Lonchura striata: one gene and its partners. The protein of the gene in region 4 purifies or fractionates together with the protein of the main gene of each other region. This does not show direct contact. Links are inferred from orthologs where the notes say so. Each region holds a gene or a part of one and is shown on either strand. Other genes may lie near its edges. The genes, in order: USP39, DNAJC8, ZRSR2 and SF3B1.

Region 1 (8,007 bases), on a different chromosome or scaffold from region 4:
GCGTTCAGGAACCAGGACAGGAACTCCACCCCATCCCCTGCAAGAGCAGAGCTAGAGCTGAGCCTGGGTCCTGCTGCGCCCCAAACCCAGAGCCCCCAGAGCAGCCCTGCACCCCCAGAGCAGCCCTGCACCCCGAACCCAGAGCAGCCCTGCACCCCAAACCCAGAGCCCCCAGCCCCAGCTCTTCCCCTCAAACCCAGCTCTGCCCCCAGCCCTGTCCCCCAAATCCCACCCTGCTTGGTGATCTGGAAGTTCTTCTTGCTGCAGAGCACCACGGCCTGCAGCATCTCGTGGGGCGACACGTGGGCCTTGAAGTTGCGGGGGTTCCAGAGCTTCCTCATCAGCTCCCCGAAGCGCTGCACCAGCAGGAACATGATGTCCCCGGGCGGGCGCTGGATGCGCCGGTAGTTCTCCTCCTCCAGGAAGTAATTCCTCAGGGGAGGCACGTTGGACAGGGCCTGGGGATGGAGCAGGGGGATTCAGCCCTGGGACCCCCACAGGAGGGATCTGGGAGGGGCTTTGGGGCAGGCCCTGCACTGCCATGGGCGGGGAATCTCCACAAGCCCCCAAGCCCCCATGGGTGGAGAAGCCTGGGAAGGATCCAGAGGTGGGGTGATCACCCCACAGAGGGGTTTGGGGAGGTTTATGTGGGGCTTTCACCCTAAAAGGCCAGCTGCACCCCCCAGGTGTAACACCTGTAGAAGAGAAGGTGGGATCCACCCTCAGGACCCCCAATGTGGGGTTTGAGGAGGATTTCAGAGGGGATTCAGCCCAAAATGAAGGCAGCACTCCCCATGTGAACATGCTGTGGGAAAAGAGGTGGGACTCATCCCAGAGAGCACCAGAACAGGATTCTGGGAGGGTTTCAGCCCAGAATGAAGCCTGGACACCCTCACAGTGTACAGCCCATAGGAGACAAGGTGTGATATCTGCCTGTCAGACCCACAGTGATGTTCTGGGGCGTTTCACCCCAAAAGGAAGCCTTAACCCAGGTGTCACCTGGAGCACAGCGTTGGCGTAGTCGTTGGCCTTGATGTTGTTGAGTCCCACGATGCCAGGCAGGTACGTGGTGCCATCGTAGGCCCGGGACAGCTTGGCCTGTTTGTCCAGGTGGGCAATGTGCTGGGCTGTGAAGGTGGGCTTGAGCACGTACTGTGGGGGGAGAGAGCCCTCAGAGCTGGGGGACCCCAACCCAAACCCCTCAATCTGGAACAGATCCCAACCCCTCGATCCTGGAGGTCCCAAGGCAGCCCCGGTGCCCCCCAGTGCCCCCGCACCGTGATGTCCTCGAGGGAGGAGTCGATGATCTCGTAGTTGTCGGGCAGGCAGTAGAACTTGAGCGTGTGCAGGTTGAGGAACACGTGGTGGCTCAGCTGCACGCTGTGGATGTAGGCGTGTGACTTCAGCCCGCGGCCTGTGGGGGACAGTGGCACCAGGGATGGCACCGAGCGCCGTGCCAGAGGCAGGGGGCACAGAGAGGATCCCCTGGGCACGTACGGGGGCTGTGCCCACTGGAGGGTCCCTGAGCACCCCAGCAGCCACCCTGGGTGTCCCCATGGTGTCCCTCCCCTCTTTGTACACCTTGGCAGCAGCCTGTCCCTGGCTGTTCCCTGTCCCTGGGTGTCCCCAGCAACACCCCAGACCCCCTGTGCCTCACCCCAGTCCCTGGGTGTCCCCCTCACCACCACCCCTATGCCCAAGTGTCCCTCAAAGCAGCACTGGGGTGTCCCCCATCACTCCTGGGCTCTCCCTCGGGTGTCCCACATCACTCCTGGCTGTCCCTCGGGTGTCCCACATCACTCCTGGCTGTCCCTATGCCCCAGCAGCTCTCACCCTGGAAGTACTTCCCGCAGACAAGGCAGGCATAGACGTTGATGTGGGACAGGGAGATGGAGCAGAGCTTCTCAAAGTCGAAGTCCAGGACACTTCTGGGGGGCAGAGCGGTGTCACGGGGCTGGGGGGCAGCTGGGGGACCCCCAGGGGCACCCCAAAGAGCCCCGTCACCCACTTGTTGATGGTGTCCAGGTAGGGGCAGTGCCGGCTGCGCTGGTCCTCGGGGTCGAAGCGCCCGTAGCGCACTGGGGAGGGCAGGGTGTGAAAAGGGGGCACGAGGACCCCGAAAACACGAGGATGATCCCCCCAGCCCCCTCTGTGACACCTCCAGGGCTGAGCCTCCAAACCCTGCCCAGAGCTGAGCTCAGGACCCCGGGACCAGTCCTGGTGACCCTCCAGTATCAGAACCCCCCAAACACCCCACTCCCACCCCAGAACCCCCCAAACACCCCACTCCCACCCCAACCCCCCCCCCCCAAATACCCCACTCCCACCCCAGAACCCCCCAAACACCCTCAATGTCCCCTCACCCCCGGTGTCCCCTCACCCCCGGTGTCCCCTCACACCCCAATGTCCCCTCACCCCCGGTGTCCCCTCACCCCCGGTGTCCCCTCACACCCCGGTGTCCCCTCACCCCCGGTGTCCCCTCACACCCTCATTGTCCCCTCGGCCCCGGTGTCCCCTCAACCCCAATGTCCCCTCACACCCCAATGTCCCCTCAGCCCCGGTGTCCCCTCAGCCCCGGTGTCCCCTCACCCCCGGTGTCCCCTCACACCCCAATGTCCCCCCAGCCCCGGTGTCCCCCAGCCCCTCGGTCCCACCCGCTCCTCCCGGTGCCCACCGGCGGGCTCGGGCTCGGGGTCCGAGTCTCCATCGGGCTCCCGCTCCCTCTTCACCCGCACGGGCGCGGCGCTGCCGGAGCCCCCCCAGACGCCGCTGCCGGTGCCGGTGCCGGTGCCCGGTTCCCGCTTGACGCGCGCCAGATCCACCGGCAGCGCCTCCGCCGCCTCCCGCCGCGCGCGCTCCCGCTCCGCGTCCCGCCGGCCCCGCGGCCGCTCGGCGTCGGCGTCGCGGCGGCTGCGGGAGGCGCCGCGGGGCTCGCGGGGCTCCCGGGGCTCCCGGGGCTCCCGGGGGTCGCGGGAGTCGCGGTCCCGCCGCCCCCGGCTCGACATGGCGGCGGTTCGGCCGCTGTGCGCATGCGCGGCGCGGGGAAGGGGGGCTCAAACCGCCCGCCTTACTCCGCGCATGCGCGGCCGCCGCTGCGGGGAGGAGGCGCTACTGCGCCTGCGCGCGCGCGCCGGGCCCGCGGGGCTCTTAAAGGAGCCGCGTCCCGGTCCAGACCGCGGCCGCCGGTACCGGGAATGGAGGCGGCGGCGGCGGCGGCGGCACCGGGCTGGCGCTGCCGGCCCGGGGGACGGCTGGACATGAGCCACGGCTTCGTGCGGCACATCCGCCGCAACCAGCTCGCCAGGTACCGGCATCCCCCCCGGGACCGGCGTGCGGCGGGGTCACCGGGCCGGTTTGGCGGTCCCGGGCCCCCGCAGCCGGTAACCGCGCTGTGCCGCCGCCGCGCAGGGACGCGTACGAGCGCGCGGTGCGGCAGGCGCGGGGCCGAGCGAGGACGCGGCTGACCCCGGGCCCGGCGCGGCCCCGGCGGCCCGACCAGCCGGTGTACCGGCCCCAGCGGGGCGGCGGTGAGCGGCACCGGGGCACGGGGGCACCGGGGCACGGGGGCACCGGGGCGGGAGAGCCGCGCTCCCGAGGGACCGCGGTGCGGGGAGCCCGGGGATGGGCGGGGAAGGGGCGGCAGCCCCGGGGACACCGGGGTGGGGGGACACCGGGGGTGGGGGGGGACACCGGGGAGCGGAGACACCGGGGGTGCGGGGACACCGGGGGACCGAGGGTGGGGATGGGGACACGAGGGTGCGGGACACCCGGGGATTTGGAGGGACACCTGCGATGGGGACATCCATGAATTGGGGACACCCGGGATGGGGACGGGCACCGCCGGGACGCTGTCCGGTGGCCCCGGCGGCCCCGGTAGCTGAGGCGCGGTGCCGCAGGCGGGCCCGGGGCCGATGCCAGCGCGGGGCCGCCCCCCGCGGGCGGCGGGGCCCCCCCGGAGCCGGCCCGGGGACCGCGGCTCTTCTGCCTCGAGTACGAGGGGGACGACGGGCGGGTCACGGCCGTGATCGTGCACCAGGTGCCAACCGGGGGCCGGGGGGGGATCCCACGGGGCATCCCGGGGGGTGTCCTGGGGGTCCCCGGAGACAGTGGGGGTGTCCTGGGGGGTCCTACGGGGAAACCCGGGGGGTGTCCTGGGGGTCCACAGAGAGAGTGGGGGGGTCCCACGGGGAATCCCGGGGGGTACCCGAGGGGGGTCCGTGGGGCAGGGGGGCTGCCCGGGGCAGTGGGGGGTGTCCTGGGGGGTCCCCGGGGGCAGGGGGGGTGCCGTGGGGGGGTTTGTGGCACAGTGGGGTACCAGGGGCTCCCCAGGGCACAGTGGGGTACCAGGGGTGCTCCCTAGGGCACAGTGGGGTACCAGGGGGTCCCGAGGACACAGTGGGTGTCCCGTGGGTGGGCCCATGGCACAGTTGGGTACTGGGGGTCCCCGGGGCACAGTGGGGTACCGGGGGTCCCCGGGAGCCCGAGGGTGACGTGCGTGCCGCAGGGGGACAGCGCTGAGGAGGTGACCCGCCGGGTGTGCGCCCGGAGCCCGCTGGAGCCGCCGCTGCGCCGGGCCCTGTGCCAGCGCGTGCAGGACGAGCTCAGCAAGCGCCGGGGCACCGGGTGACACTGCAGCAGCCCCCGACGCTGCCACCCCCGTGGTGACACACCGCAGCCCCCGACGCTGCCACCCCCGCGGTGACACCGCTGCGGCCCCGGACGCTGCCACCCCCACGGGACCGCCGCTGTCCCCCCACCCCGCCGTCAATAAAGGTGCTGCGAGGCTCCGGTTCTTTCACTGCTGGGGAAACTGAGGCACGGGGGGAAGTGACGCAGCTCCTGCGTCCCTGAGTGTCACTTGTCCCCCTCAGCAGCCCCGGCAGGGTGGCCCCGGGCACCGACGCTGGCTGCCAGGTCCTCCCAGGTGCCACTGTGTCCCCTCCCTGGGTGTCCCCAGCTCTGTGTGTCCCCTCCTCAGGTGCTGCTGTGTCCCAGGGTCGCCTCTGCGTCCCCGTCCTGCCCCCAGCCCAGGTTGGTGGCACCTGTGGCCAAGGCCAGCTGTGCCCAGGGTGTCCCCAGGGCGGGTCCCCTGAGCTGTTGTCCCCAGGGTGGGACATGGGGCTGATTGTAGGGGTGGGACCACCCCACTGCTCTCTTTGTAGGGTCTGCCAGCAGCGAGGTTACTGCAGGGTCTGCCCCAGGCAGATTCTGGTGTTTATTAATTGTAGGGTTTCCCTGGAGGGTCTGGCACGTTTGGTATTGTAAGATTTTCCTGGAAATCCCCCGGTTGGTTTGGGATTGGAGGATCTCCCCCAGGCTGATAGCACAGCTCTGTTTTTGTAGGGTCTTCCCAAAGAGCTCTCAGTATTTGTTGTAGGGTCTCCCCAGAACACATCCTGGTGTTTATTTATTGTAGGGTCTCCTCAAGAGTTCATCCTGCTGGTTTGTTATTGTGGAGTATCTCTGTATCAAATTCTGGATTCTTAATTTTTGTGGGGTCACCCCAGAACAGATCCTGGTATTTATTTATTTATTATTATAGGGTCTCCCCAAAGTTCATGCTCCTGGTTTGGCATTGCAGGGTCTCCCCAGAGAGCTCCTGCTGCTTGTGGCAGTGTTCCCCTCGAGAGGGTCTCGCTGGGTTTTTGTTGTAGGGTCTGTTCAGAGCAGATCTTGGAGTTTATTCACTGTAGGGTTGTCACGAGGATACCCCAGAGCATTCCTTTAGGGCCATTTTTAGGTTTATTCCCAGCCCTATAGACACTTGTAGGGCACACTGAGGATACCCCAGGGCATTTCTTTAGGGTCGTTTATAGGATATTCCCTGTGGGATGTTTATAGGTTTATTCCCGGCCCTAGAGGTACTTGTAGGGCACGCGGGCGGGCACGGTCTGCAGCTCCAGGCGCACGGGGCACTTGTAGAAGTTGCCCAGCAGGGTCTCGGCGTAGCCCAGCAGGAAGTAGAGCTTGTGGGGTGGCAGTGCCCGGCCCAGCAGGGCACACACCACCAGCAGGTTCCCGCGGCGCTTCAGCACCAGCTCATCCGCCAGGAGCCCCGGGAAGGTCCCGGCCAGGAACCGCCGCAGGAACGCGTCCTCGATCGCCCGCTGCGCCGCGCCCGCCTCGCCACACAGGTTCCCTGAGGGCACAGAGAGCTGGCACAGCTGGCACAGGGTCACTGCCCACTGTGCCGTGCCTGCCTCGCCACGCAGGTTCCCTGAGGGCACAGAGAGCTGGCACAGGGTCACCCCCTGCTGCACCATGCCTGCCTGGCCACGCAGGTTCCCTGAGGGCACAGGGTGGTGGCACTGGTGACCGCCCCTGTGCCATTCCTGCCTGGCCACACAGGTTCCATGAGGGGACACACGGGTGGCACAGCTGGCCTTGGTGGCTGCCCACTTTGCCTGCCTGACCACGCAGAGTTCCCTGAGGGGACAGGGTGGTGGTGGCAATAGTGGCACCACCTGTCTCCTCTGTCCCACCATGTCCATCTTCCCCCTGTCCCCAATGCCCGTGTGCCCCTTGTGCCCCATCCCTGTGCCCCCTGTCCCCCATGCCCGTGTGCCCCATGTCCCTGCTGTCCCCGTGTCCCCCCATGCCCATCTGTGCCTGTGTCCCCCCGTGTCACCCACCGGTGTGCAGGGACAGCCAGCCCATGTCCCCCCGTGTCCCTGGTGTCACCCACTGGTGTGCAGGGACAGCCAGCCCCTGTCCCCCCGTGTCCCCCCATGTCACCCACTGGTGTGCAGGGACAGCCAGCCCATGTCCCCCCGTGTCCCTGGTGTCACCCACTGGTGTGCAGGGACAGCCAGCCCCTGTCCCCCCCGTGTCACTCACCGGTGTGCAGGGACAGCCAGCCCTTGCGGTGCCCGATGTGATGGGGTGCGTGCGCCTGCTCGTACGTCACCGCCTTGTCTCCCCTGCCTGCGCGCACCCGCGCCGCCCGTGCCTGCGGGGACAGCCACAGTGGGACAGGGACAGGGACAGAGGGGACAGGGACAGGGTACAGGGGACAGGGAGAAGGGACAGGGACAGTGGGACAGGGACAGCCACAGTGGGACAGGGACAGGGACAGAGGGGACAGGGACAGGGAGAGGGGACAGGGACAGGGAGGACAGGGGACAGGGACAGTGGGACAGGGAGAGGGACAGCGACAGTGGGGACAGAGACAGTGGGGACAGGGGACAGGGACAGTGGGGACAATGGGGACAGCAGGGATAGGGGACACGGGGGACAGGGTGACGGGACACAGGGACAGGGTACACGGGGCCAGGGGACACGGCCGCGGGGTCCCGAGGACTCACCTTGAGGCACACGGGGCTGCTGTGGAGCTGCCGGGTGGCGCTGGGGACACGGAGGGCGCGGGGGAGGACCTGCAAGGGGACAGGGACAAGGCTAGGGACAGGGCCAGGCAGGGGCCAGGGGACAGCCTGGCAGGGCCAGCCCTGTGTCCCCAGTGCCACCACAGCCCCTGTCCCTCCTCCCCAGAGCCCCCCACGCCCAGCGCCACATCCCCGCTGTCCCCACAGCCGCTGTCCCTTGTCAGCGCCTTCCCCGGTGTCCCCCACGCTCAGTGTCCGCCGGCGTTTTTCCCCCATTCCCGGTGTTTCTCCCATTCCCGGTATTTTCCCGTTTTCCCGGTGTTTTTTTCCCTTTTCCCATTCCCGCTCTCCCCTCACCCGCAGCGCGCGCGCGGCCGCCGCCATCTTGGCTGTGCGCGCGGTGGCAGCGCCCCCTGGCGGCGGGAGGGTGGCGCGGGCACCGGGGGGACTGGGGGGGACGAGGAGGATACTGGGAATACTGGGAGCACTGGGAACACTGGGAACACCAGGATATACTGGGAGCACTGGGAACACTGGGAGCACCAGGATATACTGGGAGCACTGGGCATACTGGGAATACTGGGAGCACTGGGAACACTGGGAGCACCAGGCTATACTGGGCATACTGGGAGTACCAGGCTATACTGGGCATACTGGGAGCTGCTGGATAGCAACTGGGAAACTG
Region 2 (7,267 bases), on a different chromosome or scaffold from region 4:
CATGGCTATATCAGCTGGCAATAGCCCCATCACACATGGCACTGGCAAGGCAGCCTATCATGCTTGTACCAGGGACACTGCTGCAGCTCTCCTCTTGTTGATACAAGCATTGTTCTATGCATTTCTGCCAAAAATAGACACTCCTCTACCCAGATACAGCTTTACTACCATTTTTCTTGTATCCACACCCAGCTGCACAATCTCTCCAGCACTTTTAGCTCCCCTCCACAAACTTTTGAGTGCAAAAGTTGAATACCTGTCGGAATCTTTTCTTTATCTCTTCATCTGTGGCTTCAGGATCCATCTGCAGCACCTAAAAGAGACCAGGAAAGCAGAGCAAGTTTGATGCTGCTCTCCAAGTTTCAGGGTCCTGTCAGCAAGCTCGAACACTCTCATGAGGAGTGGCTGAAGTCACTTGGTTTGTTCAGGAGGCTGAGGGGAGAACTCAATACACTCTTAAACATCATTCCAAGGGGCAGCTCAGGGGCAGGTACTGACCTCCTCACTCTCATGATCAATGACAGGACATGAGGAAACTGCATGAAAATTAGTCAGGGGAGGTTTAAGTTGGAGATCAGGGAAAGGCTCTTTCCCCAGAGGGTGCTGGGCACTGACCAGGCTCCCCAGAGAATGGGCACTGCCCCGAGGCTGCCAGAGCTCCAGGAGTGTTTGAACAGCACTCCCAGAGATGCACAGGGTGGGGCTGTTGGGGTGTCTGTGCATGGCCAGGGGTTGGACCCAAGGATCCTGATGGGTGCCTTTCAACCCAGCATATTCTGTGATTCTGTAACACTTGCTTCACTGGCACACACCAGAAAGCTTGCCCCAAAACTACATGAATTTTCACCCAGTAAAACAAACATTTCACAATCTTGACATTTGTGACACTACTTTTAGCAATGCTAGATTCCTCTGGCTATGGCAGTATGCTTTCTATGTTCAAGTCTTGTGCAGACAGCTACGATCCATAAATTGGTCTGAGCCTTCAACCAGTCCTGCAGCAATGCTCAGTCTGACAGAGACTAAAGCATATGGTGGCCTGGGGACAATGTCAGGTCACTCATAACTTAGAATGTTGGACAGGAAACATACTACTTTATAAGAATTTATTAATTCTATTATTTTGAAAGAAGACTGTAGAGTTTTACTGTTTGGTTTCCATGAGTGACACCACTTGTTAATTGAACTTTACAGATGTGGCAGAGTTTAGGAACTCCTTTGTGAATTAATTTACTGAATACAAGATTTTAGCAACAAGTGAGCAGATGCTGGTCTGATTCTAAGAATCTGTAAATAAAAAGCAGTCTCCCACAGGAAAGCTACAGTCTACTCTGAAACAGCTTTCTAAATTTACTCTTTAAGTACTAAGACCTATACAAAACTGATCATTGTCAAAGTGAACCTGCTGACCAGCCCTCAACTGGGACTACAAAAAGCACCTGAGGCTTGAAAAAGGCAGCAAAGATGACACCAGGAAGGAAAATGACCAGGGAAAGCCAACTCCAGATGAACGCAATATTGTTTATTTACTGCCTTCCTCAGGCTTTCCTACTTGTTATGACTTTATAACTGACAATGGTTCCTCAAAGACTACTCACTACTGTGACCACTGAGACCTCTTCTTACTCTATCCACCATACAAGTTCAGTGGGATGAACACTCAAAATAAAGCACACAACTACAAATGCTGAATTAAGAGAGCTATGACCAGAACCTGCCAAGCTACTACCTTCCTCTTCAGAAAATACCCATCCAAATCTTCCAGTGCTGCTGTATGAGGGAAATGTGACAATGTACAGTTTGTCCTGCCATCAAACACTGAGAAAGAGAGTGAGCACATATACACCATCCTGCTCTCCTCTGCAAACCTTCTGCACAGTAATCTGTACCCAGAGAAATTTCTTCTTTCCTTATAAATACTCAACAATCAGGAAACTCACACATCAATTCAGAAATGAGGATAGAATGTTCAAACTAACCTCAAAAGGGTTCAAGTTGAAATATGAAGATCCAGGTCGGGTCAGCCGGTCAATTTGGTTTTTTGATGTTAAAACAGAGTCTCGTTTTTCAATTTGCTTTACCTGAAGAACAAGAGAGACCTGTATCAACTGACCATCACAACCTCTTTATTTATTCCTCTGTACTACAGCTCATAATGCCCCTTGCTTACCCCAAGCCTGTAGTTATTTTCTCAAGCACGAGCAGCACATATTTTTTAGCCCTTCCTACAGCCAACAGTATTTTCAACATCACATTTTACCTATAAAAAATACTGCAGAATAGTTCTGTTTATTTCTTCTAAGGCCTGCTCTACAGCTGTGCCTTCCCTCCTCTCCATGCACCTCCAGCACTTCCGTCGCTGTGATGCCTTGGAAACCACGGCATTATTTTAACCCGTTGTTGGCAGTGCAGCCCTTCAAACACGTTAAATGACACTGATGCAGACACACAAATCCGCTTTACTTTGACTACGGGTTATTCAGCTCAGTTTTTGCCCTTCACAGTACCACGCCGAACCAAAGCATGCATTTCTACTTAACGTTCACTTTTATTTGAAGAAATATCCAGCGAACTTGCACGGCCTCAGAACCCCCGCTCAGGCCGCACCCCGGGGCCCGGCAGCCGGAGAGGGGCCCCGGTGACAGCCTGCCCACAGCCAGGCCGAGCAGGACGGGAGCGCACGGCTCCCGCCGGGCTCAGCGCAGCGGAACGAGGGCCGACCGCGGCCCCAGCCCCGGGCACCACCAGGGCTGAGGGAGGGCCGGAGCGAGCACCAACCCACCCCGACAGCGGCTCCGCCCGTCCCGCCCGCCGGCGGCCCCCGGCCCCGCGGCAGCCCGTGTCCGCGCGGTGCCGGGGCCGGGCGGTACCGGGGGCGGGCGGTACCTCGTTGTAGAAGGTCAGGAACGCGTCCTCGGCCGCGCCCGCGCCGGGCCCCGCCGCCGCCATCGCCACCCACACGTGACCGCGCCGTCACCACACGTGACCACGGCGCGCGCCGCAGCGGTAGGCCCCGCCCCGACTCGTGACGTCACACGCACCACCCCGCCCCCGCGGGGCTCTGGGGGCGGGAGGAGGGCGGGGCCGCGGCCGCGCAGGCGCGGCGGGAGGAGGGCGGGGCCGCGGCCGCGCAGGCGCGGCGGGAGGAGGGCGGGGCCGCGGCCGCGCAGGCGCGGCGGGAGGAGGGCGGGGCCGCGGCCGCGCAGGCGCGGCGGGAGGAGGGCGGGGCCGCGGCCGCGCAGGCGCGGCGGGGCGGGGCGGGCGCGCCCGGCCCGTCCGGCGCTCCAAGGGCAGGCGGCGATGGCGGCCGTGGCGGCGCTGGCGGCGCGGGGCGGCCTGCGCGGGGCTCTGCTGGCACAGCAGCAGCGCTGGAGCTCGGGATCGGGCGCCGACCAGGTGGGTGTGCCGAGAGTGCCCCTTCTGCCCTGCGTCTGACCGTCCCTTTGTCCGTCCTCCGCTCTGCCCTTCTGTCTGACTGTCCCTATGTCCCTCCGTCCGTCACTCTGTCGCTCTGTCCTTCCGCGCTCACCGCCGTCTCTCCCGCAGCTGGGCGAGCTGGGTAAAGGCGCTGGGAAGGGCGGCGGCGGCGGCGGCTCCATCCGCGAGGCCGGCGGCGCCTTCGGGAAGAAGCAGGCGGCCGAGGAGGAGCGGTACTTCAGGTGAGCGGGGCCCGGGGCCTGTGCAGCCGCTCCCGCGGGCCCGGGGCACGGCCCGGCCGGCCTCTCCGAGCCCTCGGCTGCGGGGCTGCACCTCCTGCCGTCCTCTCTTGCAGGGAAAAGGAACGCGAGCAGCTCTCTGCCTTACGGAAGCACCACGAGGAAGAGATCCACCACCACCAGAAAGAGATTGAGCGTCTGCAGAAAGAAATCGAGCGCCATAAGCATAAGATCAAGCAGCTTAAAGATGACTAAGCTGGTGCTGTTGTTGAATGTGCATGGCCAATACTGATCATGGTGTAAAACAGCGTGAAGACTGTATTTTTTGGTCAACATAATCCAAATCCATACAATTATGGTCTGCAACAACATCAAATAAACTACTCAGTCTCACTTTCTTGCCAGTAACTGTTCAATGAAAACAAAAACAACCAACCTCACTATCTTGTTTTAAACTTCAATTTTTTCCAAAGTAAGGCTGCACTCTTGAGTAGGCAGAACTGAGCTATTGTTTTTTTAGATTTGTGTGAAAGAAATGACCATTTGTGCCTGGTGGGGTAACTTTAAAACAAGAAGAGTTGGGGGAAACGGTACCTGTAGCAATCCATTGGCAGAGAAGTAACTTTGTTTCAAGTAAAATGTCTATGTGGCATAGAGGGCTGTTACCCCACTGAACTAGCAGATCACAAAAAAAAAAATTAAGGTTCACTTGTTGCACTTAGTGTTTAGTGCCATAAAGTGAAAGAGGAAAATAGTATTCATAAACTGAGAGAGCAAAATAGCATTCAAAGTTATGCTGGTGTCACTTGTGGCCCTAGTCCCTGGAGCAATACAGCTGAGATCCTGACTTCTTTGTGAATGTTCTTTTCCACAGCGACTTTAAGTACCCAGTAGATTAGTTTTTTTTACTGTTTCAACTTCTGTGTTCTTTAGTTAAGTCTCTTTCCAACAAAGCATGGCTTAAGACTAATTTTATGCAGTTTCAATCACTTTTGCCATTTTAATGTAGGAAGGAAACTCATCATAAAATACCCAGTAAGTGACCTGAAACAATGTGGCCTTACTGCAGTAAGCACTGACAAGAAGGGGACTTTATGTATCAACAGGCAGGTAAGAAAAGAGTTTTTCTGTCATACCTGTTATGTCTGTAAATCTGCCCAAACAGGGTTAATGTGCAGCACTGGTGAAAGCTGCTTGTTACAGTCAGTGAAGGGTGGCAGCGACATTGACTGGGTGGGTCCGTGCCTGGAACTGCCCTGTCTGAAAGTGCAGGAGGCAAATGATGCCTTTGATGTTGAAAGTGGTTTACAAGGGTGTGACTGCCTGGCTGAAGGTGTCCCAGTTTCTCCTGTGTTCCCTGATACATCCCCAGCCAGCTGCTCCCTTGGGGCTGCCCTCACCTGGTGAATATTGCAGGTAGTGGCACATTTATCTGCAGAGTGAGTGACACCACTGTCACTCTAATGTCCTTAAACCCTCTTCTTCAATGAATATGTCACCCATGTGATGAGCCCTGGAAGAGAGGCTATGGAGTGTCCTTGCCTGGCCATGCTCAGTCTGTGGTGTGGTGAGTTCTGCCAAGGCTGTGTGCAGAGCTTCCTGTGGGCTTTGTTCCTTTTATTTGGGGCTAATTAACAAATTACAAGCACCCTCCCCACCTCTCTGAACCTGGTGAGATGAACTGAGTCATGAAAAGCAATATACTATTGGGTTTGGGTTATAACTATTTAAAAATCCATTTTTTTGCCTTTTTCAGAATGTTTTTCCAGGGTTGGCTTCCCCAAAAGTTGCAGAGTCACTAGTGAGAAGTTTGGCACTAACAGCTTCAGTGAACTGTGGAGAGCTGACATAAATATTAGGCCAACTCTGTATTCAGAAAGGAACAGATGAGGGTTTAAATTCACATCTCTGGGTTTTATTCTGCATTTTGGTGTACTAACTATGCCATGTAAACTCAGCCACAGAGCCTCTGCCCAAGCACCTGTAAGGGGGAGGATTTGCTATGAGACTGGGAATGCAGAGATTTGGACCTTTGTACCACTGCTGAATTCCCTCAGGGCTGCAGTGTGCAAGTCAGTACCTTGCTACACCACAGAGCTTTCTTGCCCACCAGCAAATGACATGAACATTTAAATGACTTGCAGCAAGCAGTTTGGGTTCACTCACCACTTCCAGGGCCTGTGGATGGAGAGATGCCAGCTACAGACTGTTTGCTGCAGGATTCCAGAGCAGGAATGCCGGGGAGTAAAATAAGATTATACCTCAGACTGGGTGGTTGCTGGGGAGTTAAAAAGGCACAAGTTGTCAAGAGACCTTTCCAGGATTCCCCCTCAGTCTGTGCAAGCTGGAAGACAGGGCTTAGTTTTCTTTTGGAAAGCAACAAACATCTGCCATCTAATTCTGGTTCAGAGCAACCAAAACCCAAAGCTGATGTTTGAAACAGGTAAGGCTGCAAGGATAGTGCTGAACTCACATCACAGGCCACAGAGGGACTAATTGTTCTGGGTTTCCTCAATTGCTCTGGAATGGCTGATGGCATGACTAGTCCCCTGCTTTGTCCCCCAGGCACAGGGGTACACAAAGGAAGGGATTCTTCTCTCTTCTCTGCCAGAACTGGTGCATCTTGATTATTTGCTAGTTCTTCAGGGTTGGATTGACCCTATTCACAACACCCTGACTTCCCATAGCCACCTACAGTGCAGCTCCATGAAGAGTTTCACTTCTTGGAGCAGATGCTTATCCTTAACACCAGATCCTCTGTCTGTACTGTGCTTCAAAAGATCACAGCCCAGCACTACTTAGCTACTGCAGGAGAAAGAAAAGTGCAATTTATTTTCAGCTAAAACTGAGCTGGTGATTTTTGCTGCAGCAAACAGAAGCTATTTCCCAAGTTGCTTGGTTTCTGCTGCATCCTACACAAATGTGATGGAAATTGCAAATAATCCTTGGCTCAGGGGTGGGGGAAAAAAATGAAAAGAAAGGAACGTGAGATCCAAGATCTTTAGCAAGCTGGTTTTAATGCAAGGCACCCAGGTAGCCCAGTCTGGTCTCTTTGGGCCTTTTTGTCACACTCAACCTTCCCACTCCAGAGCAGATAAAGGGAAAGAGGCAAGACAAAGACAAAGCACATGTGTGTGTTTTCCTAAAAATCAACTACACTGCCTGTGTGAGGCAAAATAAACATATGTGCACAGGGTAATAACAGTAGCATGGCCTCTGCAGGCAGAAATTTTTCTGAGCATTTCCCTGTTGTAGAGGTCGTGGAACACACTGAGGGCGCTCAGAAAGTTTCTTACTGATAAATAAAGCTTGAAGATTTTTAAGACAGACCTCCCCCTGAAAGCCTGGGATTTAGCAAACATGTAGGAGCTGTTCTCTGAGAGCTCCAGAGAACAAGGTATTTACTGGAGGTGGGCACATCTGTAATATATCATCCATTATATGCTGCACACTAATGATTGGTCAGGGTAAGAAGTCTAGAGCATCAGGAAATGTAATATTCCATCTATAAGTTAACAGCTCACCTACAAATTACATCAGATTCAACTCTGTCATCTTGCCATTGATGTGGAACACCCAGGAATTTCAGCCCAGTGTGGAAGGGAAGCGAC
Region 3 (7,312 bases), on a different chromosome or scaffold from region 4:
TCCTCCCACCACCACAAATCACCTCTCTCTCTCTCTTCTCCTGTTGCTTCTGCTGTGCCACTTCTCTCTCTTTTCTTTGTTGCTCTTCCCATTCTTCTTTGATCTTCCTCTTTATAATTAAAAAAAATAAAGAACAACACTTTACAATCAATCAAAATTACCATGTTTCACTACAACTGCTTGACCATTAAGTTTTCATCCAGTCAGAAGCAACTAAATCTGACAAATACCATTTTAAGAGCTGTTGTTTTCTTCTCTTTTCAATTGTGCTTTTCTATACAAAGAGTGGAGAGTCTATGCTTTCAAACACACCAGCATCAAGAAAAAGGGTCCATCACAGTTATTACACTAAGTCTATCTTGTTGTCTAGCACTACTGTAAGGTTTTATATCTTTATACCTCTTCTTCCTCTTGACGCTTTCTTGCAGCCTCTTCTTTTTCTTTCTTTAGCTTGAACTCTTCTTGGGCCTTTTCTTCTCTCAGCAACCACTGCTCATGTAGTTTTTGTCTAACAAAGAAACCAGACACCACTGAAACCATCAACTTAAGGACTACCCATGACTGATGCAACTCTCATAAATACAATTCAATATTGTATTTATTACTACAGTAATAGCTGCATCTTATTTAATCTTACTGAAAATACAAATTTCCATAGGAATCACTCAGGCTTTAGAAGAAAGGACTGTGTAGCTTGACATAATCAATAAAGATTGTGTTGCACAGAATATATTCAAACTTTTCAAAGTACTAAAATGGATTTGATTACAAAAATGTTTATTGCCCATATGACATTTTCTATATTTCTCACCTTTCTGCCTCAAGTTTTTTTTCTTCTTCTTCTTCCTCCTCTTCTTCCATTTCCTCCTCTTCTTCCTCAGACACAGATTCATCTTTTTCTGCAGCTTCTGAAAAAAAAGCACAATTCAATATATCTACATAACTGCATGTTACAGCCAACACAGATACACAAACTGACATATTTAAAAAGAAAAACCCAAAAACAACCCAGTCACTTCTAGTTCCACTGACAGTACCAAATACTTCAGTTACCTGAGTCTCTTAGTTTGGCAAGTGCCTGCCGCTTTTTTTTCCTCTTCTCCTTCTTCAGAATAGCTCTGTACTTTTGATGGCTGAGGATGAGAGAACATTACTTATGTTAAGACAGCCAAACAAATTTTACTGTCATACATTCACTTAATTTCCTTAAGCAATACAAAATCCCACAAACTGCAAAATTACTAGGCATTTATACGAAACAGTAACTCCACAGCAGCATCTGATGTGACAATGAAATCTGTAAATCTGTGGCTGCGCTGCTCAGACTTGCACATGGATAGCAGCAAGAAGACACCATACATGTGGTGTCACCTTTATGAGCTCGGCAGTACTCAATATCATCACCAACTCCATGAAATCTCCTTCAGCTCCTGAAACTCAGTCACTAGACAAGATAAGGGAGTAAAACTTAGGGATCTCCTACCCTACAATTTTTGTGCAACTCTCAGCACATTCTAGTCTTTCCTTTACAGAACATGAAAGTTCAAGTCCTTTCTTTTCTTCTTTGATATTCTCCACAGGCAGCAGTCTCAATGCACAGCTAACAAAACACACTCCACAGCCCCCACAGACAATGCTCAGCACTGCTCTTCTGCTACAGAAGCTTGGCCAGACTCTTCCTTGCTTGTCTAATAGCTTTGAACAGCTGCCTACAGGCACCACCATGTTTTCACTTTGGCTAAAATGCCTCTAATGTCTAAAAGCCTTTTCCCATTAAGCTCTTTTCTGTCAAGTTTCATTCTATCTTTTCTCTTCTTAACCAGGTCATAATGGAGAATTGGGAAGGAGGGATGATCTTCAGCTCTTGTCACTGTGCCACACCAAATGCTGATGGGAGATTGAAACCTTCCCCTTTTGGAGTGTGTAATTTTAAAAGATTCCACAAGTGCAACTCAGCCAGCCAGAACGTCACCCACATCTCCAGTCCTGTTCAGGATTGCTCACATCCTCACCGCGTGCACACCTGTGCGTGCCAAGGTGACACCACAGTGCTTGTCCTGCCAGCGGCGCCCACCCGCACAGACCTCTGCCTCCGGCCCGGCCAGCCTGGCCGGTCCTCACCTCGGGACCTGCCCGAAATGGATCGCAGCCCTCGGCAGGTGCCTGGGGCTGACAAGCGAGAAGCTCTTTCCCAGTTCCTGGGAACTTCTTGTTCTTGAAACCCAAGGAAGGAAGGGAGGGAGGAACTCCCCTTACTCCCCGGCCAGCGCAGGAGGGGGTGGGCACACAGCTGGCGCACAAGGAGCAGCGGCGCCCAAGCTGCCCCAGGGCTGGGTCCGTCTCTGCGTCCAGCGGCACGACACCGGGGCAAGGCCTTGGCAAACACCCGGAGAGCCCGACCGGGGAATCCCGCTGTGAGCGCGGCCGCCCTGGCCCGCAGCCTCCGCGGCGGGGCTGGACGGGGCTCAGGCCAGGCACGCACATGCCGCTCCTGCCCTGCTCCTCACATCAGTCCGGGCCGCCGCTTTCCGGGCGCGGAATGCTGTCCCGCCCGCCGCAGCGAGGGCGGGCCGGCACGGCGGCCCCGCTGCCCCGGGTCCGGCACGGAACGGCACCGGCAGCGCCCCCCGCCCGCGGCTGCGCCGCCTCCGGGCCCGCTCGGCGCCCCCAGCGCGGCCGCGCTCCCGTCCCGAGAACCGCCGAGCCCAGTGCCCCCGTCCGCGCGGAGCTGCGCCACTGCCGGGCCCGGCCGCGGGGCGGCCTCAGCCGCGGCCGTCGTGCGCCCGGGCGGTCCCGGCCAGGACGGGGCCGCGACTCTCCGCAGGGACCCCCGGGCCCTTCCCCTTGTCCCGGGGGGCCCCGGCCCCGGCCCGGCCGCGGCCTCACCTCGGCTTCCCCAGGGGGGGCTCGGGCACCAACATGGGCGCCGCCATCTTGCGGGACCGACGGGACGTCACGTGACCCCGCGGCGGAAGGGCGCGCGATCGGTTCCGGCGGGCGCGCGCCGCGGGGCCGCGGCTGAGGGCGGCGCCGGGAGCTGCCGTCCCAGCTCTCCCCTCACAGAACCGGGCCGGGTGTGAGGAGCGCAGTGCCTCGTGTGCCCGGCCTCCCTGCTCGGGGCCACCACAGGGCGCAGCGCTGTGTCCGGGCGGGTCCGGACCATCCCCAGTGAGGGAGGCTCCAACCCGCTCTGGGCAACCTGTTCCAGTGCTTGGTCACACACAGTAAACGTGAAAAAGATTGAATATTCTATGATTAGCTCTTCGCAGTATTAAAATGAATACTATATGCGTTATGTTTGAAAGTAACGTTGTATTAGTCCTTTTTTAGTAATGTTTTATTAATCTTTTGAAAGAAGTGTGGTAAGTACAGTTTTAGGCTATAGTGTAATATTAAAATAGAAGCTATGTGATTTAAGATACCTTTTTGTGACCAGCACAGGGAAGGGATAAGAAGCAAGAAATTGTTCACATAGAGGTAACAGCAACAGGACCCCCAAAAATTCTAAGATGGGATTTTATGGCCTCTTCATTGGACCGTACCCAACATCTGGACACCTCGGAACCGAAAGGATTGATCTACAGGATGAGGGGAGAGTTGACAGAAAACAGGAAAATTCCTAGTTTGAAAGGAATATTTGCATCATGTATGAGACATGTGAATATGCAAAGCGCTATGACTTTTAAGGGTTGTTCCTTTGTTAGCAGTCATGCTGTATTGAACAAAGCATCCAGACTGTCCGTATTTCTTTGTTTTTATTGTCCTTCATTGTCCTAACTCTGTCTAAATTCTTACTACTCTATAACCATTTTATTACTATTAAACTTTTAAAATTTTAAAGCAAGTGATTGGCGTTTTTCACAGTAAAGGAAGTTCTTGCTCATGTTCAGGTGGAATTTCCTGTGCATCAGTTTCTGCCTGTTGCCTGTTCTGCTCGGCAGCACGAGAATATGGTCCACAGCTGGACCCATGCTCTGACACCTTTCTAACACGTGTTGATGAGGTCTCCTCTCGGCTGTCTCCTCAGGGCTGAACAGGCCCAGTTCCCTCGGCCTTTCCTGACTGTAATGTCCCCAGCCTGTGCTCCGTGTGTGAGCTGCCTGGCTGGTGCTGGGAGCTGTGTGTGGGAGCGGGCTGTTCGGTGCCTGCCGTGAGGTGAACTTGCAGTGTGTCCCTTGGCTGCTGTGGGCATGGCTGCCCTGCCCCACAGGCTCTTGGAGCTGAGGGAAGCCACAGTTCCAGTGCATTGATCAGTTTAGCTCACACTGCAGATATATTCCCATCATTGTCTCTGAGGCATTGTACCTGACCTGATTATAAATGCATTTCATGGCAGGAAACTATTCCACTTAGACCCTCATGGGTGTGATGGTGGAAATCTGCAAGTTGTCAGTAATCAATTCCTCTGTGACAGGAGTGATAGATTGCAGCCTTCAGAGGCAGCGTGCTTGTAGCTTTCATTTGGGCATGTTTTGCATGGCTATTAATAATGTACATTGTTGATTAAGGTATAAATTATTCTCCTAAACCACGGTGTAGGAGCTTATTTCTTGTATCCTGGAGGTAGAACACTGCAGAAACAGCCGGAGCTGCTGACGAGGAAGCACACCACAGCAGGCTCTGTCAAAATCTGACTAATTGACTGTGCTGTTTATTAACAGCATAATGAGCATCCTCTTTCCTACTCTGAAGCTCAGTGAAGTTATTCAAAGCAGGCATGTGACTGCTGTAGTCAGCAGTTACATTTGCCACTTGACCAATGAATATTCAGACCATGACTCTTTGCTGTTACTTAACCGTGTGCCAGATCTAGACTCTCTTAAAATGAAGGACTTGTCATCAGTAGTACTTCCACTGTTCCTTGTGCAGAACATACATGTAAAGTAACAGATAATTTGCTGTTTCTTGGATACAGAAGATGGCAGTATTGGGCATTTAACAACTGATGAACCATTGACACCCATGAAAGTTTTGAAAAAAAAACAACCAAATGTGTTTCATAATCTTATTTCATTAAGAAATTATAACTTTCATCCGCCCGTCAACAGAGGAAGTACCATATTAACCTCCCTTTAAGCTATTTATGAGTCTAAATTGAGAAATTCTGTCATTTCTTTCTTTTGGTATGCTACATTTCATCATGGCATTTTTCCAATGTTCTTGGGGAAGGCACCATTTTAAGCGTATATATTTCAGCAATTAAAAGTAGGATCTCATTTTAAGAAAACACAAAACATAACAGCTATTTCAGATATCCAGAATGATTCTGGAAAAAGCTGTCATTCTCTTCAAAACAAGAATAGAATAGTTGCATTTTTCTCAGTTTTGTTTATTTTGTTAGTTTATATAAATATAGCAGCTTGATTTTCAAGGCAGGTGTGGAGTTTCATATAATTTAATTGATTGAGTGCCAGAAAGAAAAAGATACAGCAATTCCAGGCAAGAGCCATTCACATATCGAAAGTAACACTGCATTCCAGTCAGTAGCTCTTATTCCTCACACTGGAATTATAGACCATAGACCTCCATAAGCATAGTTTATTTTTGTGGCAGCCTTCAGGTTTTGGAACTCACTCTTCCATATTTTCTAAAGAAAAATGCTCCTTCATGGTCCAGTACAACATGAACCCTCTCATAAGGTCAATACTGGATACACAGATTGTGCTGTACCGAACAGCCCAGAACACAGAAGCTTTTATCTTACAGCTTGTAGTTACATACCATGCAGTAACTACCATGGATGTCCCACATTGCATTATAAATCTCTGTGTGCCTTTCAAGATGTATGCACAGAGCTCTGCATGCACAGGAGAGCAGCTCTGTGTTGAAGTGCAGTGCCTCTCTGGCACGTATTTGAACTTCCTTTCCCCGTGGCTCTTCTGGTTTCCATTTCTTGTATTTTCTGTCATTGTAGACTGATGTAAGCAGATAAGAAGGGTTCACTCTGTTGTATGCCCAAGCCCTCTGTAGAAAAAAGAAAGTTATATTTGATATGCATACAGATTATGTAAAAGTTGTCCTCACCATAGTATTTGCCATATGCTCCAGGAGAAGAGTGGGACCTTTCCTCATGGGATTGTGCATCTGTTTTGGTTTTTTCCTGGATGATGCAAATAGAAATAAGAGAATACAATGGCAGTCAAATCACTAACTTGGATTTGTTGGACCCAGAAGATATGTGCTAAGTAGGAGACATCCAGGAAGTGTGGGTTTGGAATAGGTCAGTTTTCATTGACACTTCTTGGTGTGTTGACATTTATTATACAAATGTGATGATGAAGTGGTGGCAGCAGCACCATCCTCCCACCCCCTCCATGCTGGAAGTCTCTGCTTACCCTCAGTGCCAGCCCCACTGTGGGCTGTCCCTGGTGCTTTCCACTGCAAAGTGCCCTTTCCAAGGTGAATATGGGAATGCTGGCAAGTGCATCCTTCCCCCACCTGCACTACTGTCTTGAGAGCTAAATGATTTCTCACACTGTCTGCTTCTGTGAGCACTGATAAAACTTGGTGACAATCAAGTCACTTCTGCACTGTTACAGTGATGACGGTGGTGGCAGTCCTCATTCAACACCCTGTTCCCCCATGGAAAGGACATGCAGTGTTTGTCATTTCCACTGCACCCAGGGAACTGCACAGCACTGTGCACAGCTGCTGTTCAGGTCTGCAGTTCATCAGGTACGTTTCCATGAGTGACTAATGCTGACAGTCACACATTGACTCTTTCCTCGTAAGAATTGGACACAACTCTTTGAGACTAAAGATTAACTTCCTCAGAGTTTAAAGCTGTTAATTTGTCAAATTTGAAAACTGAGGTTAAGTTTAGCCATAGTTGTTAATTAACTTATACAATAGCTATCAATATTTTACTTCCCTGGGATTTTCCATTTCAAAGACACTGAAAGGAGCAGAAAAAGTATATTGCTAATCACATGGAGAAGATTGAGGGGATTTGTTTGTTTGTTTTAGCAAGTCATATGCCTCTTGACTTTTCAACAAATTTCTCCAGATTTTTTTTGTAGTTCAAATTTTGATGCATTTTTAAATATGTACATACAGTTTGCACATGAACTTCTGTAGATCAAAACTATTGAAAAAAGAAAAAAAATCATTTGGTACAATAAGAGAAATAATTCTTTGCACTAATTCAGTGGTATTTCTGGAATGCAGATCGTGAATGAAATTCTTCATGGCTATGACTTGTTTCTCCACAGTAGTTAGGAAAAACAAAGATACTATAAAAGAGGAACTACTTAGAAATCTAACACCTCACAAAGTAGTCAGTTAAAAACATACCTTGCATATGTGCCTGAGG
Region 4 (7,430 bases):
TAAGTGAAACAGTGGGGGGATTCCTGCAGTGCAAGTGTCAATACAAAAATGTTTTCCTATTGATAGCTCTTACTAGCACTTAACAATGCCTTGTCCGCCAACATTATTTTTAAAACAGCTATATTTCATGAAGAGGGTGGATGTGTCACTCATTACTGGCCTTCTCTTTTAAATTACAGGGATTACAGCTGCTGCCGGGGCAAGGAGCATTCTCATTTTCCTACAGCAAAAACCTACTGGGTTATCTATAACAAAAAAACGAAGTCTATATAGGCTCAACAAACCTTACTGATAGCCACCCTAATTTTTTATTAATACCACACAGCCTCCAGGTGCCAGTTTAAATGAAGCACTCTACCCACAAGAGCCCTTGAACCAGGAGCCTGTGGCCACAGGTAGCCTGTGTTTGAAAAGCATCACATATTTAGGTGGAAAATGCTATTTTGACATTCAAAATGTGCCAGTTAGCTTCCTTGAGCTAACTGGCACTTCCTTGAAAAAGCTCACACCATACTTAACAAAGCTCTTTAATAAAAAGCAAATTAAGAAAGAGTGATCACAAAGCTTAAAGACACTGTGCAAAGCAAACTACTTGTTTGATGGCTTAGTCGAGCAGGACATAATGGAAACTTCACTCACAGAGAAACAGTAAAGGGAGTGGGATATAAGGGTGGAAAAAAGAGAGGAGGGGAATAATATTCTACTGATTGCTCCTTTTCTGTATTTTACTCTATGTATTTTGGTATTTTAGCAGAAGTAACTTCAACAAGCAGGTGATTTGAAACATACCATAAATGCTGAATATTATTACAGCTGAATATTATAACACTTTATTCAAAGTCACTGAACATCTAGCTCACAGAGAGGCTTCCTCTAAGTATGTGCTCTGATACCACGCATGTAGTTCTATTCTAAATGTTAAAAAAAAAAAGAAAGAAGACCCTGTGCTGGACAGGTATTTTAGAGTAAATAGGTTCTATGTTTTCATGTCTTATCATATTTTTGCACATTTAGCTTGCCCTTACATGGCTTTATTTTTAACTACTTTAGCACTCTTACGCATGTTAGATCTATTATGTTTGAAGATCTCTGTTCTCTTCTCAGCAAGGAAAAAAAATTAAAATAAATACGACCTTCAACAGCATTGAAAGCTCATGCACTTATTGAGGCATTATAAGCTGCCACCTGAAACTTCACTTTTCGGCCTCAAACACAGAGTCCCCCTTTAACTATGTAGCTGACATGAACTCCAGCTCTTTTGATGCTTCTTTCAAGCTGTATCTTGAACACATCAATTAAGAAATATTTAATAAACAGCACAAATATATTAAAAAAACTTTAGGATGATTTAGTAACAAACAACTCAATTCAAAAGATTAGTGAGGAACTGAAAAAAATAGGCTACCACCTGGAAGCAAAATAATCAAGCTGCTCAGCTAATGCCTCCATGCTGGGAAAGACCCTTAAGTGATCATACCCTGTTATGTCTATTTTTTATTTAACTACCCTCCCCCTTAAAACCTGTTCTGATACAACACTAATCAAAACACATGCAACTGAAAGCATGTCAATGTTTTCACTGAAGCCAATGCATCACCATTTGCTCCAAAAAATAAGCAATTTTAGCTTGGAAACAACCAGACCTCAACAACTGTACTATTTTATGACAAGAATCTCTTCAGGTAGTAGGAGAGGCAGAGCACTGTGATGGGTAAGGCTCACTTGGGTGCTATCACACACAACCCTTATGCATGTCACATTATATAAACAAAGGACAAGACAATTTCTGTAATTATATAAAAATACTCTAGAATTCTAAAAAATAATTGAAAGTAAGGACAACAGTTTAAGCTTTTCTTCGTCCTTAAAATCAGATTAGGTCTGTAGTGTTAAACACTACATTAATCTCACTTCCACGGGAGATGATGGCTTTCCACTTGAAAAGCTTTTTTCAGTAAAAGCTGAAAAAAAAATTAAAAAAATACTAAAAGACAATGAACGCCTAAGCGCCCTGCCTACCTCAGTGCACAACCACCATCCAGAGGCAGTTTCCAATTAGTGAATTATGCATATAAATTAAAACAAAACACAGCAGAACACCTATCGTACAGAGAAACACGAGAGAAAAACCCCGAAGCAAAAACAGAGAAGCAGTGTAATTCTACACATTATTCTCGGGTGCAAGCCGCAGCCGATGCCCACAAAGAGAGCTTTGATTCCCTCCGAGAAGAGCCGAGGCAGCAGCGCACGCAAGAGAAGGAGAAGCACACAGCGCCGGGACTGCCCTGAGCCGCTGGATCGCTCAGGGAGCCGCTGTCCTACGTCAACACCCGGCCGGCAGAAGTCTGTGCAAAATGGCAGCTCGAACGCTCCAGCCCTCACGATCCTTCCCGTCCTTCGGGGCACTCCTCTCAGCAAGCACGGCGGCGGCTCGGGCCGCGCCGCTTCCAGCGGGCAGCGCCCGTTCTGCGGCCGCCCCCGGCGCTGTTTGCCGAGGCCGAGGGGCTCGGCGGGGACCGAACGCGCGCTGTTGGCATTTCTGACGCGAAACTCGCAGCGGCACCGCGGGCCTTGCACAGCGCACCGGCCGAGCCTCGATGGGCGGAAGGAGGCGGCCATGGGGAGTTCAGCGACCGAGCTCCCCCGCACAGGCCTGGCCGCCGCTCCGGCCCACGCCAGCACAGCGAGAGCTCCCCCTCATGCCCGCCCCCCGCCCGGCCCGGCGCTGACGAGCGCAGCCGCCATTACACACATGCCCTGTATGTGTGCTCCTCCGCCCGAGGAGCCGCGCCTGACGCTGCCCGGAGCCGGGGAGAAACACAAGCAGCGGGCGATGTCCAAGCGCGGCGCGAGCGGGCGCGGACACGGGGCTTTCCGGGCTATTTTTACCTTCGTGGGTCTTGGCGATCTTCGCCATTTTGTGCAGCGCCAACGACGCCGAGGCGGAACTGGCGCGGCCCCGCCGCTTCCGCCACACGGGGCCGCCAGAACCGGCAGCGCGCAGGCGCGGCCGCCGTCCCGCGGGCCGGGGGCCAGGCCACGCCCACCGTCTGATGGACGGCGCGCCCAGCCAATGGCCGTGCGGAGAGAGGCGGGGCGCGCGCTGAGCCCGGCCCGCCGTGAGGGAACTTCCGGTGAGGGCGGGGCAAATGGAAGCGCCAAATATGGGGGCGGTTCCTGGAGACTTCCTTCCCACAGCCGCTGAGGCTGGGCCCCACGGGAATTTGGGTGCTCAGCTCTGTTTGCCAAATTGCCTGACGTGTGTTTCATCTGGTCAGGGTAACTGGCTCAGTGCCAACAGGCGGATCGCTAGATATCAGAAATAAAGCAGATATATATTTATTGCTACAAGATGGGGGTTAACCGGATTCAAGTCAGTTCAGTATTTTAGGAAGGGCTCGAAAGAGGGAAGGGTAGTTGTGTTTACGATATTGGCAGATGGCACCAAACTGGCAGGTGGAAGAAGGAATTGAGAATAATCTTACATTGATTCATACATGGAATAATCTAAGATCACAGAGGTAAGCTTCAACAACAAAAAGCAGAAATTACTCCAAATTGGAATTTTAAGTCACTATATGAATTTTAAGTGGAAAAAATAGTCAGAAACTGATGACATGGGAAATCAAAGCTATACGACTATCTGTAGCAATATGCTGCTGCAGTGGAATTAAGTCTTACTCCAGGCCATTAAAAATTGTGCCACATACAAAACCTGAAAAGCAATTTACTTAGCTCAGTCAAAGCCACTGATGGTGTCCAACAGAGACTTGGGCAAACTCAATATAGTCTAGAAGCGAGGAGGAACGATCAGATGTTTATGAACATGACCTAGTGTGGATGTAAACAAATTGTTCAGCTGTTCTGCAATAACTGACCTCACACCACTTCCACATTTCATTTGGGAATTACTAACTTTTTTCCCCAGATGATATATACACATTTCAGCATCCCTGTCTATTGTATACCTGATAACTAAATAGGATTGATTCTATCCACATGCAAAGCCTTGGGAACTCTCCCTTACAGTCAAGTGTTGTGAACAAGCTAGTTTTTTATTGTCTCAGCTTTTAATAGTAGTAAAATACCAAGGCTGGCTATGCAACCTAGGTTCAAAGTCCACGATTGCTTAATGATATTTCATAACACAGTGTAATATGTAAACTTCTAGAGATTATTTATTATCATGTGGCTTTATTGTACACCTGCTAAGTCCCTAATCTCCTCAAAAGCTTTTGCAACAAGTGATGTCAACTTGAGAACTTCCCATCAGGTAAAATGCATAAACTGTTTCTGAAAAGGGTGATAAATGCACGATGGCAAAACCCATATTGACTCTTCACTAATCACTCTGCTTATGCAAGCTGGTAGTTCACATTATGGCTTTTTGAGGGTTGTCTTAAAGAAAATAATGTGAAGCTCATGTTTTTGTGTTAATACATGTATTTGATTGACCAACTGATCTAAAGATCTGTCAGTCTGCTTTGTGTTGATTGGTTTGCAGGAGTTTGCTGAACAGTTCTGCTTTTAATAATTTACTAACTACATGTACTCAAATGTTAAGAGTGACTGTCACTTGAAGGTGCACAAAGTCTTCTGTTCTTTATTCTCAGCGTTATTAAACTCACATTCCACATTTCTAGAAAGATGCACTTGCACATACTCACAGGCTACAAAAGGAGATATTTACCAAGCTGCCCAGAGACATGTGACAGTAAGGTTGAGGCAAATTCCCTGCTGCAAGAATTTAATGCATGCAACTATTTTAAGTAAATGTCACATGCTCAGATTCACTGTGAAGATCAATTTGCAGTAACTTTCCCTCCTTTCTTCAGCCTGACTTCCAGTTTATGTTAAGCAGAACAATTACAATATTTCATTTCTTCTGTTATTAAGCAGACCTGAGCTAGGCATGAGGTCTCGAGGAACGCTTTAAAGTCATAATTCTGAAATGTGCCATTTCACACATAAAAGAGACTTATGTGTTGTGAGTGCTAACAGAAATTGTGCTGTGATGAAACAATGAGAAAACTGCCTTCTACTTGTGTCTCTTCCCTGCTTTTCCACCGAATTCTGTATGCTGCCCCAGGTTCTTTTTGGCTGCCTGTCAAATCCCTGAATATGTACTTTTGCCTCCTGAACATTAACTCCATCACACAGCTTCCACAGAATACGGACAGGGCTGTTACTTAGTGGTTTACCAGCCCTACTGAGTTCCCACCCCTTTCCCACACATGCAAGTGAACAGCGAGTTCACAGAGATTCCTGTATGCATTTGAAACGGATTTAAGAGCACTCAAGCTTTGCAGATCAGGAATCACACCTAAGGAACAGACCTCCAAGGTCCCACTTTATGTAAGATTCAGGTCCAATTTCACGGGCAGCTTAAGCTGTCACCAGCTGGCACTGCTGCTGGAAGAAATATCCAGACTCTTTGCCTGGCCTTGATTGACCCCATCTATTGTGCCAGCAGAACTTTCTGGCACTGTTTCACTCAAAGAAGGCAGGCTCTTGACTACATCCTTGTGCTACTTCTTCCAAAAGTAATTTTTTATTTGTATTAATTCCCCCCCACCACCCACCCATGCTGTAAAGAGCTGTAGAATGAGCTGACATTAGCAAAATGCTACAAACCTGGGCTAAACTCCTAATCCTTCATTCTGCCCAGGTCTGTGCTTAGCTTCACGTGCCAGGGACAGTTCACTGACAATCACGTGTCTGTTAAAGGGCAGAAATTCTTAAAACAAAGAGAGGAAATATTTAACTGTAGCAGCTGTGTTTCAACTCTGCACAAACTTCTCAAACAACATGAGCAAGAAAAAAATAGCACAAAATAAAATCTCTTCCAGTCGCATTTTTGTTTCTGATGTCAAGAAGAAATAATGTACAAAGTGACAATTTTTTTGTCACTGGAAAGCAATGAGTTAAAAAATACACATTGGAAGATAAGCTTTTTGGACAATTTTAAATGGGGGCTGCTTTGTGTTCTGCAGGATGTGCATAACCTGAACACAAACCATTTGTGTCACTGCTGGTAAGGGGGGCCTGAGGAACATAAATCAAAGATGGGATGGGACTGTCATCTGTGCTGCCACAGTCCTGTGGGCTCTCCTGAGGGAGTCTGAGGGTGTTTTTGTAGATTTTCTGCCAAGAGGAAGCAGGCTCCAGGCCCTGTGTCCCAGCTAACGCTGTCCCAGGGCTGGCAGGGCCAGGGGGGTTGGGTAAGGGCTGCTGCAGACACAGCCCTCCCCACGCAGCAATCCTCCCCCAGCCTGCCCGAGCTGCGCCCGGGGCTGCATGCTTTGGTGCAGATCATGTTCTTCCTGAGCAGTTTAATAAATACAGACAGTACTATTTTGGAACTGGGACAGAGTAAGAACAGAGTAGCTGGATTTCAAAACCGTCTGTGAGCAAATATGCATTGAGATTTAAACCTTTTTTGGATTTTTTTGGTCCACTGAAACCTTATGAAGATCAAACAAGTTTAATCCTTTACACAACATGTTCACAGCCAAATACTTCAATTATTACTAACACCAAGTTCACTGGCACTATATAAAATATAAGAAAATTTATGTGATTTTATATCCTGATGAATCATCTATGTTTGTAGATAATTTTTCCCAGCCTACATGTATATATTTTGAGATCTTTCAAAGGCAAATATTATTCAAAACTCATTTGTAAACAGGAACACAGTTACTATATTTTTGCTTTCCTCAGCATATCTCTGGCTACCTAAGGAACACACTAAACCAGCTGCTCTTTTCACTTATCTGTAGGAATAGAGCTTTTTTTTACATGGGGATATGCTCTCCTCCTTGTCAAAGATTGACTCTTTCCCCTCTGAAAGGTGTCCTTAAAATTATTGTTTTTAATAGTATAAACCTCATAGTTAGAATGTAAACCTAACCTTCTAATGATAGTAGTATTATAAAAAATAACATTTAGAAAAAAACAACCTCTGTGGTCCTACAGTACATCCCTTTCTAGTGTATCAGAAATCTTGCATCCCTCTGGTGTTAAGGATTAATTTGGACCACTCTTCCAGTCAGAGTTAGTAAACACAGCACTCTCTTCCAGCAACAGGTATCAAGCAAGGTTTAAGAACTTTAATCTTGAGCCTACCAAGAGAAAACAAAAAAGGCAAAAACTCCTCAAAGTGCCTTAAACATCCATCACCTTGAACTACTCGATGCCTGACTCTTCAATTATTCTAAACACCTAAAAACATCAGTCTTTGTGAGAGGCATTTCCTGATCCACTAGGATTCACTGAGCAAGCTAGAATGACAGACACAGAATCCAGCAAATAATAGCAGCACTCGTGGAAGTTGCAAAACACAGATGAGGTTAGTAATAAGGGTTAGAGGAAGGGAGGACAGCATAGGACTGGGGCTTTGTTTGCATTTCTGTCTTTGCAGTTTGTTT

The links.
Region 1: the proteins of SF3B1 (region 4) and USP39 purify together in Homo sapiens (co-immunoprecipitation; 3 studies listed by BioGRID and IntAct, with this or other methods). This does not show direct contact. The link is inferred for Lonchura striata from reciprocal best matches to the Homo sapiens genes SF3B1 and USP39.
Region 2: the proteins of SF3B1 (region 4) and DNAJC8 purify together in Homo sapiens (co-immunoprecipitation; 4 studies listed by BioGRID and IntAct, with this or other methods). This does not show direct contact. The link is inferred for Lonchura striata from reciprocal best matches to the Homo sapiens genes SF3B1 and DNAJC8.
Region 3: the proteins of SF3B1 (region 4) and ZRSR2 purify together in Homo sapiens (affinity purification with mass spectrometry; 3 studies listed by BioGRID and IntAct, counting the BioPlex papers as one, with this or other methods). This does not show direct contact. The link is inferred for Lonchura striata from reciprocal best matches to the Homo sapiens genes SF3B1 and ZRSR2.

The regions. Positions count from the first base shown.
Region 1 is NC_134634.1:361,686-369,692, forward strand, and holds the start of USP39 (ubiquitin carboxyl-terminal hydrolase 39), read right to left. Parts: upstream 3,006-8,007; coding exon 2,675-3,005; intron 2,079-2,674; coding exon 2,009-2,078; intron 1,929-2,008; coding exon 1,834-1,928; intron 1,415-1,833; coding exon 1,278-1,414; intron 1,153-1,277; coding exon 1,000-1,152; intron 459-999; coding exon 233-458; intron 38-232; coding exon 1-37. Other genes in the region: C32H2orf68 (UPF0561 protein C2orf68 homolog), read left to right, coding at 3,195-3,304, 3,409-3,524, 3,897-4,036, 4,505-4,627; MRPS24 (small ribosomal subunit protein uS3m), read right to left, coding at 5,856-6,139, 6,838-6,949, 7,305-7,373, 7,680-7,706.
Region 2 is NC_134628.1:5,314,377-5,321,643, reverse strand, and holds the start of DNAJC8 (dnaJ homolog subfamily C member 8), read right to left. Parts: upstream 3,018-7,267; 5' UTR 2,950-3,017; coding exon 2,887-2,949; intron 2,082-2,886; coding exon 1,980-2,081; intron 314-1,979; coding exon 257-313; intron 1-256. Other genes in the region: ATP5IF1 (ATPase inhibitor, mitochondrial), read left to right, coding at 3,301-3,396, 3,547-3,659, 3,773-3,911. UniProt on the Homo sapiens protein: Suppresses polyglutamine (polyQ) aggregation of ATXN3 in neuronal cells.
Region 3 is NC_134604.1:100,231,693-100,239,004, reverse strand, and holds the start of ZRSR2 (U2 small nuclear ribonucleoprotein auxiliary factor 35 kDa subunit-related protein 2), read right to left. Parts: upstream 3,001-7,312; 5' UTR 2,934-3,000; coding exon 2,887-2,933; intron 1,134-2,886; coding exon 1,054-1,133; intron 909-1,053; coding exon 812-908; intron 509-811; coding exon 400-508; intron 110-399; coding exon 23-109; intron 1-22. UniProt on the Homo sapiens protein: Pre-mRNA-binding protein required for splicing of both U2- and U12-type introns. Selectively interacts with the 3'-splice site of U2- and U12-type pre-mRNAs and promotes different steps in U2 and U12 intron splicing.
Region 4 is NC_134610.1:28,287,109-28,294,538, reverse strand, and holds the start of SF3B1 (splicing factor 3B subunit 1), read right to left. Parts: upstream 3,015-7,430; 5' UTR 2,918-3,014; coding exon 2,890-2,917; intron 1-2,889. UniProt on the Homo sapiens protein: Component of the 17S U2 SnRNP complex of the spliceosome, a large ribonucleoprotein complex that removes introns from transcribed pre-mRNAs.